2 linked regions of the Notamacropus eugenii genome follow. The protein of the gene in region 1 purifies or fractionates together with the protein of each later gene. This does not show direct contact. Links are inferred from orthologs where the notes say so. Each region holds a gene or a part of one and is shown in the gene's direction. Other genes may lie near its edges.

Evidence for each region.
Region 2: the proteins of UBR5 (region 1) and ATMIN purify together in Homo sapiens (affinity purification with western blotting; 3 studies listed by BioGRID). This does not show direct contact. The link is inferred for Notamacropus eugenii from reciprocal best matches to the Homo sapiens genes UBR5 and ATMIN.

Annotation. Positions count from the first base shown.
Region 1 is NC_092875.1:148,573,510-148,581,017, forward strand, and holds the start of UBR5 (E3 ubiquitin-protein ligase UBR5), read left to right. Parts: upstream 1-4,499; 5' UTR 4,500-4,852; coding exon 4,853-4,914; intron 4,915-7,508. UniProt on the Homo sapiens protein: E3 ubiquitin-protein ligase involved in different protein quality control pathways in the cytoplasm and nucleus. Mainly acts as a ubiquitin chain elongator that extends pre-ubiquitinated substrates.
Region 2 is NC_092872.1:542,052,165-542,060,141, forward strand, and holds the start of ATMIN (ATM interactor), read left to right. Parts: upstream 1-4,969; 5' UTR 4,970-5,038; coding exon 5,039-5,401; intron 5,402-7,977. UniProt on the Homo sapiens protein: Transcription factor. Plays a crucial role in cell survival and RAD51 foci formation in response to methylating DNA damage. Involved in regulating the activity of ATM in the absence of DNA damage. May play a role in stabilizing ATM.

The DNA of each region.
Region 1 (7,508 bases):
ATACTACAATTCAACAAACCTTATTAAGTACCTACTATGTGCGAAAATATTGAATCAGGTTCTGAGACACCAAAATTTAAAATTCCCTTTCCTCAAGATGCTTATATTCCAGGAGAATGCATTCTCCAGTAATTTAGCATCCTACCCTAGATCTGGACCTCTCCTCTGGACAGAACAGGATTCTGTTTCCTATGCCTCCAGTCTCCTTTCTCTGCATATAGAGCTTCATCCTGAATATAGAGCTAAAGTAATCGTGCCAATAAACAGGTCTTGCTCCCCTGTTCAGAAACTTTCACTGGCTTCCCACTGCCTTGAAGATAAAATACTAGAATCTAAGGTGCTTTACAGTCTCATTCAAACAACTCTTTTCTTCATACATTGTATTTCAGGACAAACAGGTTTGTAAGTTATTTCCCAAACTCAATATTATACCCATTTCCTTTTTTTTTATCCAGACTTGTAATTTCATCTGTCAGAAACTGCTAGTGAGAAAACTCTCCTTATTAATGAAGGCCACTAACCATGTAACCATGACATGCCTGGGATCACATAGCCAGTATGTATGTGTCAGAAGCAGGATTTAAATCCAGGTCTTCTTGACTCCGAGGCTAGTGTGGACCCTGTACTGGCTTCACCCAACTTCCTTTCCCATTCTTGACCCCTTCACGAACCAGGTGGACTCTACAATGTCCTCTTCTTTCAAAGCCCTTGCCCTGTTATGGTATCACCCTGCCCAGCTTTTGATTACTCCTAGAGTCTACTGCTGTTTCTGTTCATTACCTGTAGAATGAAGTTGGAGAGAATCATAAAACCATGCTAATTTCGTCTATTACAAGTCCATGTTACATACTATCATAACATAATATCAACTGGTCTCCTGCTTCTGCAGGGAAATCTTTTTACATCTCCTTAATAAATTCATGATCCTACTCACCAAAGTGACTTTTTTCAACCTTCCTATACCTCTCCTATCTTCACCGTCTCAGTTTAGAACCTTGCTTCAGAATTCACTAAAGAAACTGAGGCAATTCATTAAGAGCTACCTCTTTTCCCTTCCTCTTTTTATATTTTTCATGACTGGACTATTTCAATAGCCTGCTGGTTGGTCTCTCTCACCCCAGTCCTTCCTTCACTCAGTTATCAAGGTGATCTTAAAACCTATGTCTAACCACAATTCAGTAAATTTCAGTGGCTTCTTATTGATAGAATATGAAATGCTCTCTTTGGTTTGTAAAGCCCTTTACAACTTGGTTTCTTCCTATCTTTTCAGTCTTCTTATACTTTACTCCCCTCTATAGATTCTAAAGTCTGATGATTCTGGTCTTCTAGCTTCCCCTTACACGGGACACTCCATCTCTTGATTGTGTATTTTCACTGACTGTGCCCTATGCCTAGAATGCTCTCTCTTTTCACTTCCACTTTTTGGCCTCCTTCAAGTGTTAAATAAAATCTCACCTTCTGCAAGATTTTCCCAGTCCTTAATGTTAGTATCTTCCTGCTGAAATTACTTCAAATTTATTGTGTATATAGCTTGTTTGAACATAAGTTCTCTGTATACTGTTTTCCCCCATTAGATTATGAGTTTCTAAAGGGTCAGTGACTTTTTTTTTATTGTTTCTTTTTTTCTGCCTTTATTTATATCCCTAGCACTTAGCACAGTGCCTGGCACAAAATAATATATGGTGTAATAAATGCTTGTTGATCTGACTGGACATATGAGGCTGCCAAACTGCCTCACTAGTTGAATCCTTAAGGCTTAGGAAATTTTTAGTTTTTCTATTGAGAGTGCCAACAAGGGGTAAAATTTAGAACTAGTTGCATACCACTTTCTGTGTTATGGAAATAGATCAGCATCCTAGACTGAGTTCACATGGGCTTTTACAGAACAGCTGTCTGAAATACTTTTTGAACCTTAAGTCATCTGGGTCAGTGTTAGAAGTGGTGACCTATGAAAGGGTCTACTAGTCCCATGTGGTATTTAGACTATCCTACCTTATTGAATAATTTTTGATATCCATGATTTGCTGAAAATTTTTTCAATAGAAATACAATAAAGTCTTATAAAGCAACCTAAGTTAATGGTTTAAGATGCACATTTAAAGTATCTCATTAGAGCTCAGGATTCATGTTTTCTAATACTTCCACTTTTGAGGTTTGGGACCTAACTTGACCTACCTCTTTATCCCATTATAATATCATTTTCAGTGTGAAAATTTGTTAGTTCTGTTTAAATAATTTCCAATTCATAAATTTTTTATGAATCATTCATTCTTTATTTGCTGTGCAAAGACTTCAATGATTCTAACATTTCTCCATTAATTTTTTTTTCTGCTCAGTGTGTAATTCAAAACTCTTCATCAATCCTTTGAAAATTAGAACATTTATTTTAGTATGAAAAAGGATTACCAGAGGTTCAGCCATGCCTGCCATCCATGGAAGGAATCCTTGCCAATACTCCACTGGATGAAGTCTCAGAAGGATGAAGAGCTCTTACAGTAGAAGATAATAGAGCAGGGAACATCCCCAATGTAAGTTCTTTGACAGTAGGAATTGTTTCAATTTGTATTCTACTCCCCCAGTGCCTAGCCCAGTACCTGGAAATCAATCAATCAACTACCATTTATGAAATTCCTAATATAGTGAGCTCTTAATAATAAAGTGATTGGATAGCACTAGAGCCTTAACCAGGAATTAACTAGGACAAGGGTCCCCAACCATGTCCAGTGTAAGTGGAGGAACACTGACCTCATTTTTTATTTTTTAAAAAAAATTTGAAAAATTTATTATTTTTATCATTCTTTTATTTCCAAATTTTGAGTTCCAAATTCTCTCCCTCCCTCCCCTTCTCTACCTACTAAGAAGGCAAGCAATATGATATCAGTTATACATGTGAAATCATGCAAAACATTTCCATATTGAAAAAATTGCAAGAAAAATAAAGTGAGGAAAATATACTACAATTTGCACTGGAGTTCATCAGTTCTCTTTCTGGAGGTGGACAGCATTTTTTCTTTATGAATCCTTTAGAATTGTCTTAGGTCATTGTCTTCATCAGAGAAGTCAAGTCTTTCATAGTTGATCATCATTACGATTGTTACTGTGAACAATAATCTCTGTTCTCACTTCACTTTGCATCCGTTCACATAAATCTTGTCACCTTTCTCTGAAATCACCCCCTTCCTGATGTCTTACAGCACAATTGCACTCCATTACAATCATGAAACAATTTGTTCAGCCATTCCCCAACTTATTGGCATCCCCTCAACAGTCCAATTCTTTATTCTTTGTCACCAGAAAAAGCTGCTTGAAATATTTTTGTACATATAGGTCCTTTCTCTTTTCTCTCTTTGGGATATAGACCTAGTAGTGGTACTGCTGGGTCAAAGGGTAGGCACAGCATAAAATTCTTTATAAAGTCTTCGTTTGGGGAGGGGATTAGGCTGTAAAATGAAAAAGGCAGAAGGGCAAGGGTATAGTGGAATAAGCTTGGACCTAGGAAACTTGAGTTCCAGTCATGGCTGACTTCATCTCTCTGGGCCCCAGATTCCTCATTTGTGAAATTAGATTAAATTGGACATAAATATATGTATATATATTTCTCTAATTCTAGTTCCTATGATCTTTAGGTCCCCAACCTTCTCTATCTTGCTTAATATTATAACAGTTTTTCCTCCTTTAACTGTTTGCATACATTCATTTTAAATAAAACAGCAGATCAAGAAAAGGAGATAAAAGCCCCACAGTTCTTAAAATAATTAGGGTTGCTCTAGGGAAATCAAGGAGAAAGCACTTTAACAGGCCCCTCCTCTGCGCTTACCACCCGGGGATACCCTTTTGCACTCCCTCTCGTACTCTTACCCAGGCCAGTCTGGGCTCTTCTCTTCTCCTCCCTCCTCCCTACAACACGTGCTCCGGCCAAAATGCTCGCTCCCTACCGTCCCGAACACGGGAGGGCTAGGGAGGGCGGAGAGATACCCAGACCAATCCCCCTGGTTCTTACAGCTTCCTGCCCTTCCAAAGCTGCGCCGACCAATCAGCAGAGCCGTAACGTGAATTGCCCCCGTCCTCTTTCTCTCTCCCCTCCCTCTCTGCCCCCTCCCCCCGCCTCCTCTCTCCTCCCCCCTCACCCCCCCTCGGAAGCGGAGCCTGCGAGAGGGAGAAACTGGGGCAGAAGTGAAGATGGCGGCGGCGGTGTTGGTGGCGGTAGCGGCGTCTCGCCTGTGAGCGCGGTGCGGACTCATTTCCCTCCCCACCTTCCCCCCAACGCCCGACCCTCCCGTCCGCCGCCCCCCTCCAGCCCCCAGCGTCCCGGTGGCCTAGTCCCTCCCAGCACGACTCTGGGCTACCTCCTCAAGCCCTCCCGGCTCCCGACGCCCGCCCTCCAGCCCAGCCGCGGCCCCGATCTCGTCCTCGTCCTCGTCCTCCCGCCTCCTCCTCCCGCACCCCCACCTCGCCCCCTCCCCGGTTTTTCATCCTCTTCCCTCCTCCTCCCTCCGCCTCTCTCCTCCCCGTCCCTCCTCCTAGTCTTCCTCCTCCTCCTCCCCCCCCTCGGCGCGGGGGGAGCTGCTGGCGGGTGGCTCGTCTGCCTTCTCTCCCGTCCGCCCGCCAGCCGGGCCGGCCGGCCCCGCACACACGGCCCGGAGTGGGGGGGGAGCCGGAGGACGAGGACGAGGAAGAGGAGGAAGAGAAGCCCGAGGAGGGGGAGGAGGAGACGGCCCCTGCGCATTTGGTTCCCTCCTTTGGGGGGCTGGGAGGAGGAGGACGAGAAGAGGGGTTGTTTTTGGGGGGAGGGGGGACGGGTTAGCGCGAGGGAGGTGGGGTGTCCTAGGGAGGAGGACGAGGAGGAAGCACCATGACGTCCATCCATTTCGTCGTTCACCCGCTGCCGGGCACCGAGGACCAGCTCAATGACAGGTAAGGGGGACGGGGAGGGGGAACCCCCAAGTTACCCTTCCCATCCTCCTAGACCTCCCATCTCCTCTTTGTGGGAGGTGGGGCAGTGCGACGCCACGGGGCCCGAGGGTGCTGGGGGGTGGGCTGGTGGGGTGTGTTTTTTTTGGGGGGGGAACGTGAAGAGGGGAGATTCTAGGTGTCTCACTCTCTCTTCCTCCTCCTCTTCCTGCCTCTCGGATATAGGCCTTATCCAGGGTAAACTTCTGTTACAGGGAAGAAGAGGAGAGGACTGGGGGAGGGGGAGGGGAGAGGAGAGGGAACCGAGGGTCTTATTCCAGCCCCCTCCTTGGGAATCGTGTGGAACAGGAGAGAGGGGAACGAGCCAAGCAGCCCTTTTCCCTAGGAGGAGTAGCCTGTAATGACTGCCGGGCCCAGGCCCGAGGAATCCATATTAGTCAAAGTTGAATTGAGACAGACAATGCGGATGGGGGATGGTGGAGGTGAAAAGGGAGGGAAGGTGACCGAGGAGTCCGGGCCTCGGGGGTGGCGGTGGGGGGTGGAGGGGCTGGATGAAGCGTGCCCTGGATCTCTGGGTGGCCTGCATCCCCGGGCCAGATTGCTTTCAGAAGCCAGGGAGTATAGGCTTTGGCCCACTACGGGAAAGGGGAGTAGCCCATTCGCAGTTTCGGGGGGGGGGATGCTAGTGGGGGGAGTTTGAACTGGAGGAAACGCCATATTATGATTATTTAATTTGAGCCCCCGCTGTGGTGAGGCATGCCGATCCAGGGAGGGGGTCGAATCCAAGCCAAGAGATGGAAGTGGTAGCACATCCCGAAATGGGTAGGCAGGCCCATTATCACCGTCTCAGGCCAGCCTTTTGATGTTCGCTTTTTCTCTCTCTTTTTTGGTCTCTCCCCAACATCGTAGGGGGAGGGGTTTCCCCTTGGTAATTTGGCAGAAGAAAATATACCTTGGTCTACTTAGTAAAAACTCTTCTTAATCCCGGAGAAGGGTTGGCCACGGGGTTTGTGGGGTTAGTTACATATTGTTTTGTTTTTCAAAATTGGAATGTGTTGCTTACCGCTGTTCTTGCTCTCCGTGGCCTAGTACATAAGATACAGAATTGCAGGGCTGCACGTTCACTTTGAACCTAGAAAACCCAGGAAAAGTTCCTTCACTGTTGCAACAGAGGCTCGGAAAAGGTTGAGAAGAGGCCTCCATTAAATCCTGTCTTAGGTCCAACCCTGGGCTCAGTGTTTACAGGATCAGAAAGTAGGTCACTTTAAGCTTTCCCCTGTTAGTATGCTAGATCCTAAATATACTTGTGCGGGCCTTGGAAGGCCATCTCGGACTGAAGTTGGGGAGTTACGTGTAATTTTTGCCGGTGACCCGGTGACACAATTCGCATGACGCCCTGTTTGTCATGCGCTTCCCGGAGAGAGGAAGAGGCCTGCCTAACTTGCTGCTAAGAGATTGGCCTTCGTTTCTCTGTGTGTGTACGTATGTAAGCACTTCCAATGTGGCCAGCAGCAGTTCTTCAGTTAGAGGGCAAAGATGTTTCAAGAAATGTCCAATTTTGCTGAAGCCATGTTATTGTTTTTTTTTTAAGATTATGGTAGGAAATGAGTTAGCTGCATGGGGTTCTCAGAACTTTTCCAAGTTGCTTATTTTGAATTCATTTCTTTCAGTAGTCTATATTTTAAATGTCATTTTACCTGGATGCTTTTAAAGAGTCAAAGGCGCTTGATATATTTAGATAGTTTCTGTAAAATCAAGCCACTTGACAGCTGTAAGATTATCCTCCAAGTCTTCTGTATTTTTAATATGTCTTTTATATATAAAGCCAAACCCAAGGGGAAGTAGAGAAATGAATGTTTTCTCATATATATCTTAATTTGTATGTTCCAAGAATTTTGACTGCTGTTTTTCATAGAAAAACTTCAAATCAGCTTCTCAGTGTTTTTATAGGAGCAAGGTCTTTAATTTAAAAGTTTTTGTTTCTTTTTATGTATGTGAAAAATGTATAAGTATGTACCTTATTTTGTTAAGATCATTATCACTATTAGTATGCCCAAGTAATCAACTTAAAAATTGTTGTTGAATATAATGCTTAGTATAGAAAATAACATCTCACATAAAAGAATGGAGTGATTAAAAAGGAAAGTATTTAAAGCTTAGAATATTTGTGTGTTATTTTTACATTACCTACAGTCTTCGCAGATGTTAAACACATACAGTGCTGTAAGTAGCATTTTTTAAAGTCATAGATAATAGTTATGGAAATGTCTTCCTGTGGATATTTTCTTTTCAGTTGTCAACATTTGGTACTGGAGTCATATACATAGTGCGATTTCGAAGTATTTAACTTTCATGGACATGTATAGAGAACCTCTTTTGAAAGAGACACATTTCACTATCTCTGGCAAGTTATGGAAACAAATATATTGTGGCATTGCTTGTTAAAATCTAACACTTCAAGTATAAAAAACTTCTGTCTTGTGAATTCTTTTGAATTAAAAGGAAGCTTTAATTGAAAATACTTTGTTTTGATGGCTTAAGAGAAATTTTTATTAGGGTTCACTTAGTGATAGTTGTAGAAAAGACCTGTCATTCTT
Region 2 (7,977 bases), on another chromosome or scaffold:
TCATCATCCATGATCAAACACTCTGACCTGGATTCTCTTCTTTTTATATACCCTCCGTCTTGATCGTCTCTTTAGCTCTTATGTGTTTATTGATCGTCGCTGTGATGCAAATGAACTCTTGTTTATTGGTCCAGCTTTAATTTCCACTGAGTTCCACATTATTGGATATCTCCCTTAAGCATAAACGATACAAAAGTTGTCCAAAACAAAACTCATTTTCTTCCCCTCCTGCCTCCAAACTTGCTCTTCATGGCACCACCACGCTTCCAGTTATCCACGTTCAAAACCTTATCATCATCTGCAACTCTTCCCCCTCCTTCACCTTGTTGTGAGGATCAAATGAAAGAATATTTTTTTGAAAGCCCTTAGGACAGTGCCTGGCCAAGAGGAGGTACTCTAAAAATGCTTATTCCTTTCCCTTCCCTACCCTTTCATCACTATCCAATCAGTTGCCAAATCTTGTTAATTGTAATTTCATAACATCTCTTATATCTCTGCTCATCTTTCTGCTAACATGAATTCCACTTTAGTTTAAGCCAGGCATACACAACCTGCAGCCCATGTGCAGGCCATTTGTGGCTTGCCAAAGGATTTCCTCTACATTTTTCATGGGCTGCCTGAAATCCTTTGGTGTGCCATAAGCAGCCCAAGGGCCATAGGTTGTGCAGACCTGCTTTAGGCCCTCATCACCTCTTGTTTGAATTATTGGGACTGTCTTCTGATCATCCTACCCAATCTATCCTTCACACTACTATCAAAATAATTTGAAAATAAATGTCTGACCCTAGCATTCTCCAGCTCAGAAACTTTCAGTGGCTTCCCTCTTACCACTAGGATGAAATACAGACTTTGCAGCATGACATTGAAAGGCCTTCACAATCTGCCTCCAACCTATGTCTCTAAGCTTCTTACTATATTCCACTCAAACTGACCTTACTGCTATTCCCAGTATTCCATCCCTCTACCCCAGTATCTTTGCACAAGTCATCTGTCCCCATAAACCTGATATGTACCTCATCTTCATCTCCACTTTTTACAATCTCTAATTTTTTTAAAGACATGGCTCAGCCTGTGTGGTACTTAGTATGGGAAATTTTTATGAATCCCCCTTATTTTTAGATATGACTATGGAGAGACAGTTAAAAATACTGAACAGCAGTTGGTAATGCAGTTCGTAACAAATTGCGGCTGGATATATAGTACTAGGGGTCTTATCCATAAACATTATGGTTGAACTCATAGAAGTTAACGAGATAACCAAGAAAGTTGGTGTAGCAAGAGACAAGACCTGGGACAGAGTCCTGGAGAATATACCTGTAAGCATAAACATTAGTGTATGCATGAAGGAGTGGCCAGACAGGCTAACTAGTAGAAGACCAAGTTTAGGATGACATAGTGGCCAATGGTATCAGTTACTGCAGAGAAGTCAAAGATAAGAACTGAGAAAAAGGCCAAGGATTTGACAATCAATACACTTGATAGCCTTGGAGAAAGCAATTTTAGCTGAGTGCTAAGGTTAGAAGCCAGACTGCAAGAAGTTGAAAAATGATTGTGAAGTAAGAAAATGGTGACAACAAGTATAGACAGCTTTTTCTGGGAGTTTGGGGGTAAAAGCAGAGAGAAGGAAAGGATGATAATTTGAGGTAATAGTAGATGAAGTGATGGATTTTTAGAAATGGGAGAGGACATTTGGGCATGTTTATAAGTAAGGATGACTGTATCTTACACTACAATTTAGTAGTCTCTGCTAAGATTGTTTTGGGTTTTAGCATGGTTTTATCAATGTAGGAGGTCTCTCCACACATGTACATCTAATCTGTAATTTATAGCCTTAGCTGCCTGGAAACACTCAAAGGTTAAGTAATTTACCATGATCATGTAGCAAATATGTCAAAAGTAGGACTTAGTGATTCAACTGGAAAAGCACTGGCTCTGGAGTCAGAGGACCTGAGTCCAAATCCTACCTTCTGATGCTTATTATTTGTATGACCTTGGATAAGTTATTTACCCAAGATGGCTATTGAGGTTTCTTCCAGCTCTTAACCCATGATTCTAAGTCTTCCTGACACCAAGGCATGCCCTTTATCGATTGTGCCATCCTGCTTCTCAGTTTTGACTATTTAAATAAAAATTTTCAAGTTATAGAAGAGTAAAATTATATTTTAAAAGATCTTAAGCATTCATTTTATGTCTCTGGATGCAAAGATGTCCTTTATAAGGAGAAACCCCTAAGTATTGCTTTCAAATTAAAGTCATATAAAGAGTTGTAGGTGGACAATGCAGATATGGGGACTTTAAAAAGACTGGAGAGGAACTGGAAATCCAGGGAATGTCTATCAATTGGGGAATGGCTGAACAAGTTGTGGTATATGAATGTAATGGAATACTATTGTGCTATAAGAAATGATGAAAAGTAGGACTTCAGAAAAACTTGAAAAGACTTACATGAACTGATGCTGAGTGAAATGAGCAGAACCAGAACATTATACACGGTAACAGCCACAGTATGTGAAGACTGTTTCTGACAGACTTAGCCCTCCACAGCAATGCAAGGACCTAAAACATTCCCAAAAGATTCTTGAAGCAAAATGCCATCCATATCCAGAGAAAGAACTACGGAATCAGAATGCAGCAGTTTTGTTTTGTTTTTTTCTCATGGTTTCTCTCATTCATTTTAATTCCATGCAACATGACTAATGTGAAAATGTATTTAAAAGAATGTATGTGTAGAACCCATATAAAATTGCATGCCATCTCGGGGAACAAGCAGGGAGGAGGAGAAAATTTAAAACTTATGGAAGTGATTGTTGAAAACTGAGGACAAATTAATTTTTTTTTAAAAATTTAAAAAATAAAAATATATCCATTAAGAAAAAAATTAAAATCAAAATCCTACTATAAAAAAAATTGCTTTTCTTTGGCTGAAAAAAATAAAAATATAAAGATTGGAGCGGGAAGAGCATTAATTCAAAATCTTCTCCAGTGGGTCTTTGGTTGCATTAGTAAAAAGGGTGAGCTTATCATCATGTATCTTAGCGGTACATGTTATGAGTGCACAATCATAATGCCATAGCCATATTCCCCTAATGGGGAATATGTTTTTGTTATTGCCCTAATGGTGTCATGGCCCATGTAACAAGCTGATGCTTCAGGCAAACTAATTTTAATGTATTTTAAACCAAAATGTCAGGTTGTTGTGCACAGGATGGGATAAAAGGGAAAAAGTACTAATAGCATAGTGTAAGAGTGGGGAACCTGCGGCCTTGAGGCCACATGTGGCCCTCTAGGTCCTCAGGTGTGGCCCTTTGAATCTAAACTTCACAGAACAAATCCCCTTAAAAAGTGATTTGTTCTATAAAACTTAGACTCAGTCAAAGAGCTGCACTTGAGGACCTAAAAGGCCACAAACTTCCTCTTCCCCTTCCCTTCCCTCTCCTTTCCCAAAACCTTAAATCTACTGCACTCAGAAGCTCAGACACAACTGGGCCCCTGCCTAAGGACTCTTCTGGACCCTCCTGGCTTAATGATTATCACTAGTAACCGTTGCTGTTTCCCTCCCAGCCTGATGTCTTTCTTTTTCTTTGCCTCATTAAAGGGCCTACTTCTTAAACAGGCCTATTCAATGAATGGGTGTTACCTCACCCTAAGTGAGTACCTGTATAGCCCTTGGCCAAGGTCTTCCAGTGCACCTTGGGTCATCTCCAGTCATCCTGATGAATATCTGGTCACTGAATTCAGATGGTTCTGGAGGAGAAGTGAGGCTGGTGACCTGCACAAACCTCCCTCACTCAAAACAAAGGCAAGTGCAAGCCATGTCATCATTTCTCTGATGGTACAGTGTTCTTCGGCAACGAAGGATGAACACAAGAAGGCCACATGTAGCCTCGAGGCCATAGGTTCCCCACCCCTGGTGTAGTAGCTTGCATGGCATGGTGGAAAAAATGCTTGGATTTGGATTCAAATCCTGTCTCTGCCACTTCCTACTTCTGTGACCTTGGGCACAAGGAGCTTACCCTCTCTGAGCCTCAGTTCATCCGTAAAATTAAGGTGTTTGACCAGCTGGCCACTAAGGTTCCTTCTAAATCCATGATGTGTGATTTCTGTAGCACTCTGAGGTGTTTTCTTCACAATCCTAAGAGAGATTGAATAAGTATTATTGCCTCTCTTATTTTTAAAAAGTGTTTTGTCACTTTTTTGATGTCACTGCTTCCTCCTCCACCCCAACCTTCCCTTGTAAAGCATAAATTTAGTTAAGCAAAACAAATCAATACATTGGCTGTATTCTCATTCTGCACTTAAAATCCACCACTTTTCTGTTGAGAGATGAGAGACATGTTTGACCCTCAGTCCTCCAAAGACAACACTGGTCTAAGTTTTTCACATCCATTTTTACTGCAGAATAAGAATGTAATTACATTCCATCCCTATAGCACAATTTTTTCAACCACCACATGGGCACTTTGCTCCTGGTTGGTTCTTGCGTACATGAACCCATTCTGCCCTTCTGGTTTCCCCATTTTGCAGAATCAGAAATTAAGGCTTAGGGCAGTGAGCTTGGTCACAATAACATGTAGCTGGCCAGTGCTGGCGCTAGAATTTATCCCAGGCCTCCTGACCGTGCTCCGTGGCATGCCACATACATATTAAAATATAATTTATATAAATTGGAGTTACATGTAAAGCCAGTGAACTTCACTGCCTCTTAGGAGCGAGTGATACAGAGGTAACATCGTTCCTCATTTAGGAAAAGGTGATGACCTCGGAAGGAGAAGAGATCTTTTCTAGGGGGTGCCTGGAACTGGAAGGAAGATAGACCAACGTGAGAACAGCTGGAGCGGAGTCCCGCCTCCTGGAGAGCGCAGGCCCCGCCCTCCGCCCCGCCTTCCCGAAGGGGCTCCGTGGTGGGGGCGGCAACGTTGGACGGTGACGTATTCCAGAAGCCCTCGTTGGTTGGCTGAGGCAGCGGGCTCCCGCCCTTCTCGGAAGTAGCCGGGGAGCGAGGCGGCCCCAGCAGGGCTGGCTTGCCGCGAAGGTAAACATGGCGGCTGCGGACGCAGCGGCACCGTCCGCGGGTTTGACCCCAGCCCCGCTACTGGCTTCGGCTTCGGAGCCGGCCGCGATCCGGGCCAGTAGAGGAGATGCCACCACCTACGCGACCTCGGGCCGATGGGGTTTCGAAGCGGGGCTGCGAGGAAGCCGGGCTAGGACGGCGGGAGGAAAGCGGCAGCCCCCCACCGCGACCCCGAGCCCGGCTCCTGCGGGCGAGCTGATCCGGCCGTCGGTGTCGGAGCTGTCCCGGGCCGTGCGCACCAACATCCTGTGCACGGTGCGCGGCTGCGGTAAGATCCTGCCCAACGGGCCCGCGCTCAACATGCACCTGGTGAAGAGCCATCGCCTGCAGGTGAGGCCCCGTCCGCCCCCGACCCCCGCCGGCCTGCCCTCACCGGAGGCACGCACTCACGCCCCTACCTGGGAAGGGGCGAGGGTCGGTGCCACGAGGAGCCAGCGCCGGCTCGGCATGCCCCCCCCCCAGAAAAGCTTTGCCCTCTCGGCCAACATAGTTAAGCTCCTACTGTGTACCGTGTCCTGAGCCCTGTGCTCTCCGGCAGCCCCAGCCCTGATGGGACCCCGGGGCCCCTCCCTCCCCCACTCTGCCCTACCCCAGAGAGTGCCCGGTGAAGTCAGCAGCCACAGGTGAGGCTCGGAGCGCCCGCAGTCACGGTGACGGTGCTGCCCAGCACTACAGAGGTGTAAGCAAAGTGCCCTCCGAGGGGGCGCGGGGGGCGGCTGTTACCTCGGTGGCGGCCGACAGAGCTTTAGGGAGGAGGCGGCGCTTCCCTGGGTTGCGCCCAGCCAGGCCTGACTCCCTGCATCCTTGACCCGGACCGGGGGCTGGCGGGGAGTGTGGTCTGCGGACCAGTCCGCCGGGAGAAAGCTATTGTTGGATCGGTGTAGTGGGCTGGCGGCGAGGAGAGGCCGGTCTACACAAAGCCAGTGGAACCTGGGCTTCGTCCCCTTTTGGGGGGGGGGGGGGGGGGCAGACTGCTTGTCAACATAGCAGCGAGGGACCTGCCGGTGGAGGACCGTGGTCCAGGACTTGTTAAGGGCCTTTCCTGAGCCAGGCAGTGTGCCAGACTGGGAACTCTAGGGCGAAAAAGGTCCTGCTCCCCAGGAGCTCCATTTAATAAGGGAGAAACCTTTGTTGAAATCGTTGAAAACAGCCAGGGACAGACGAGGTACGCGCCAGATAAACTGGAGAGAATCAGTGGAGGGAAGGTACTGACGGTGAGAGGCATCCAGAAAAGCGGCGTGCAGAAGGGGGAATTTTAGCTGGGGCTTTGGGGAAACCAGGAGCTGAGATGAGGAGGGAAGAGGCTTCCAGGCGGGGAGGACAGCTGTGGAACATGCCCAGTCGACATGGAGCATCTCGTGCCAGGACCGGCTAGGATGCCATTGTCGCCGTATTGCAGAGCACTGGCGGGTGGGGGTGGGGGAGGTAAGGGGTAAGAAAACTGGAAAGGTAGGGGGCTGGATAGATAGATGGTTTCGGAATCCTAATGAGAACGTGGTAGAACTCCCTTACTAGGTTCAGAAAATGGTGGTGAGTCCAAAGATGAGAAATTAGAGGGTTTTTAGACTTAAATTTAAAGAGAGAAAGAAACGAGAGGATTTAGAATGGGTGTAAAAGCTGTAGTAGTCCTGTTTTCTTTAACTGACTTCCATTAATTATCTCAAGTGGCTTTGTCTCCCGTAGCCAAGGATTCTGGTCCTTTGATTCTATGGATTATTCCAGCCCATCTTTGTGCTGCAGTTTTCAAAGGATTGCAACAAATATTCATTAAGACTTTTTATGTTCCAGGCCATGTGAATGAATGAAAATGCACATATTAAGCACTGACTTCTCCAAGTCTGGCACAGTGCTGGGAAGATAAAAACAAGCAAATTAGACAGTGCCTGGCTTCCAGGAGCTTACATTCTAATGGGGAAGACTGTATTCAAAGGGGAACTAGAGATTAAAATGGAGAAGTGAAGAACAGGGCTGTGAGCACAGCAGCATAGCTTAGGGCACCCTGTGGCAGGAGTCCCCAGTTCTATTGGGAGTAAGAGGACCATGGGACTTGGAGATGAAGGGGGAGTATTAGACCCTGGATCCTCCTGGATATTAGTTGGCATATCACTACCAAGATGTATCTTTTAATAACTTGCATTTAACCCCTGTCTGTGGGATTACAGTAATACTCATAATTTTATGGTATTTTAAGGTTTACAAAACTTTCTTCATAACACCCCTGGGAGGTAGCTAGTACAAGCATTAAACTCCAATATTTATTTTTAACAGAAGGGAAATGATCTGCTTAAGATCACACAGTTAGTAAATAAATTACATTTGCTCCATTACTCTTGACTTTAGGTTTTCTGAGTTTTAAGTACAGTATTCTTTCCATTATGCTAGGCTGTGCCATTGTTGTAATGATAGATGTGCCTCTAAAGATTTGAGCTAAACAGTTAGTATATAAGAACTATTTTTCAAAGCTAGTTCAAGAATACAGGTATATTTGCCCATTTTTCAAAAATTTCATTTCAAAAAAATGAACATGAAATAAAGGAAATTGCAAGAGGCCACTCATTAGCAGTCCAGTAAATTTAATGAATCTGAGAGGGAAAAGGATACTTTTGGAGAAAATAGAATTTTTGTGTGTCATTTCAACTTGGATCTCATAATAATCTATCCTGGAGTTTGGAAGGCTGCTTTTAAAGTAGCTATCTTTTAATTCCATTTCAAATTTGACTTTTCAGGCCCATTTTGTCTGCAGGAAAGCCCATGTAATTTATCCAACCTTCTTTTCTGAGTTAGATGATCTTTCAGTGGAAAGCAGGAACCACCTACTCTCAGTCTGTTTCCTAGGTGGGTGTAGGTAAAGGAAGTTCCTTTTGATCAGTCAAGAAGTATTTATCTACTAAATATGTGCCTAAATT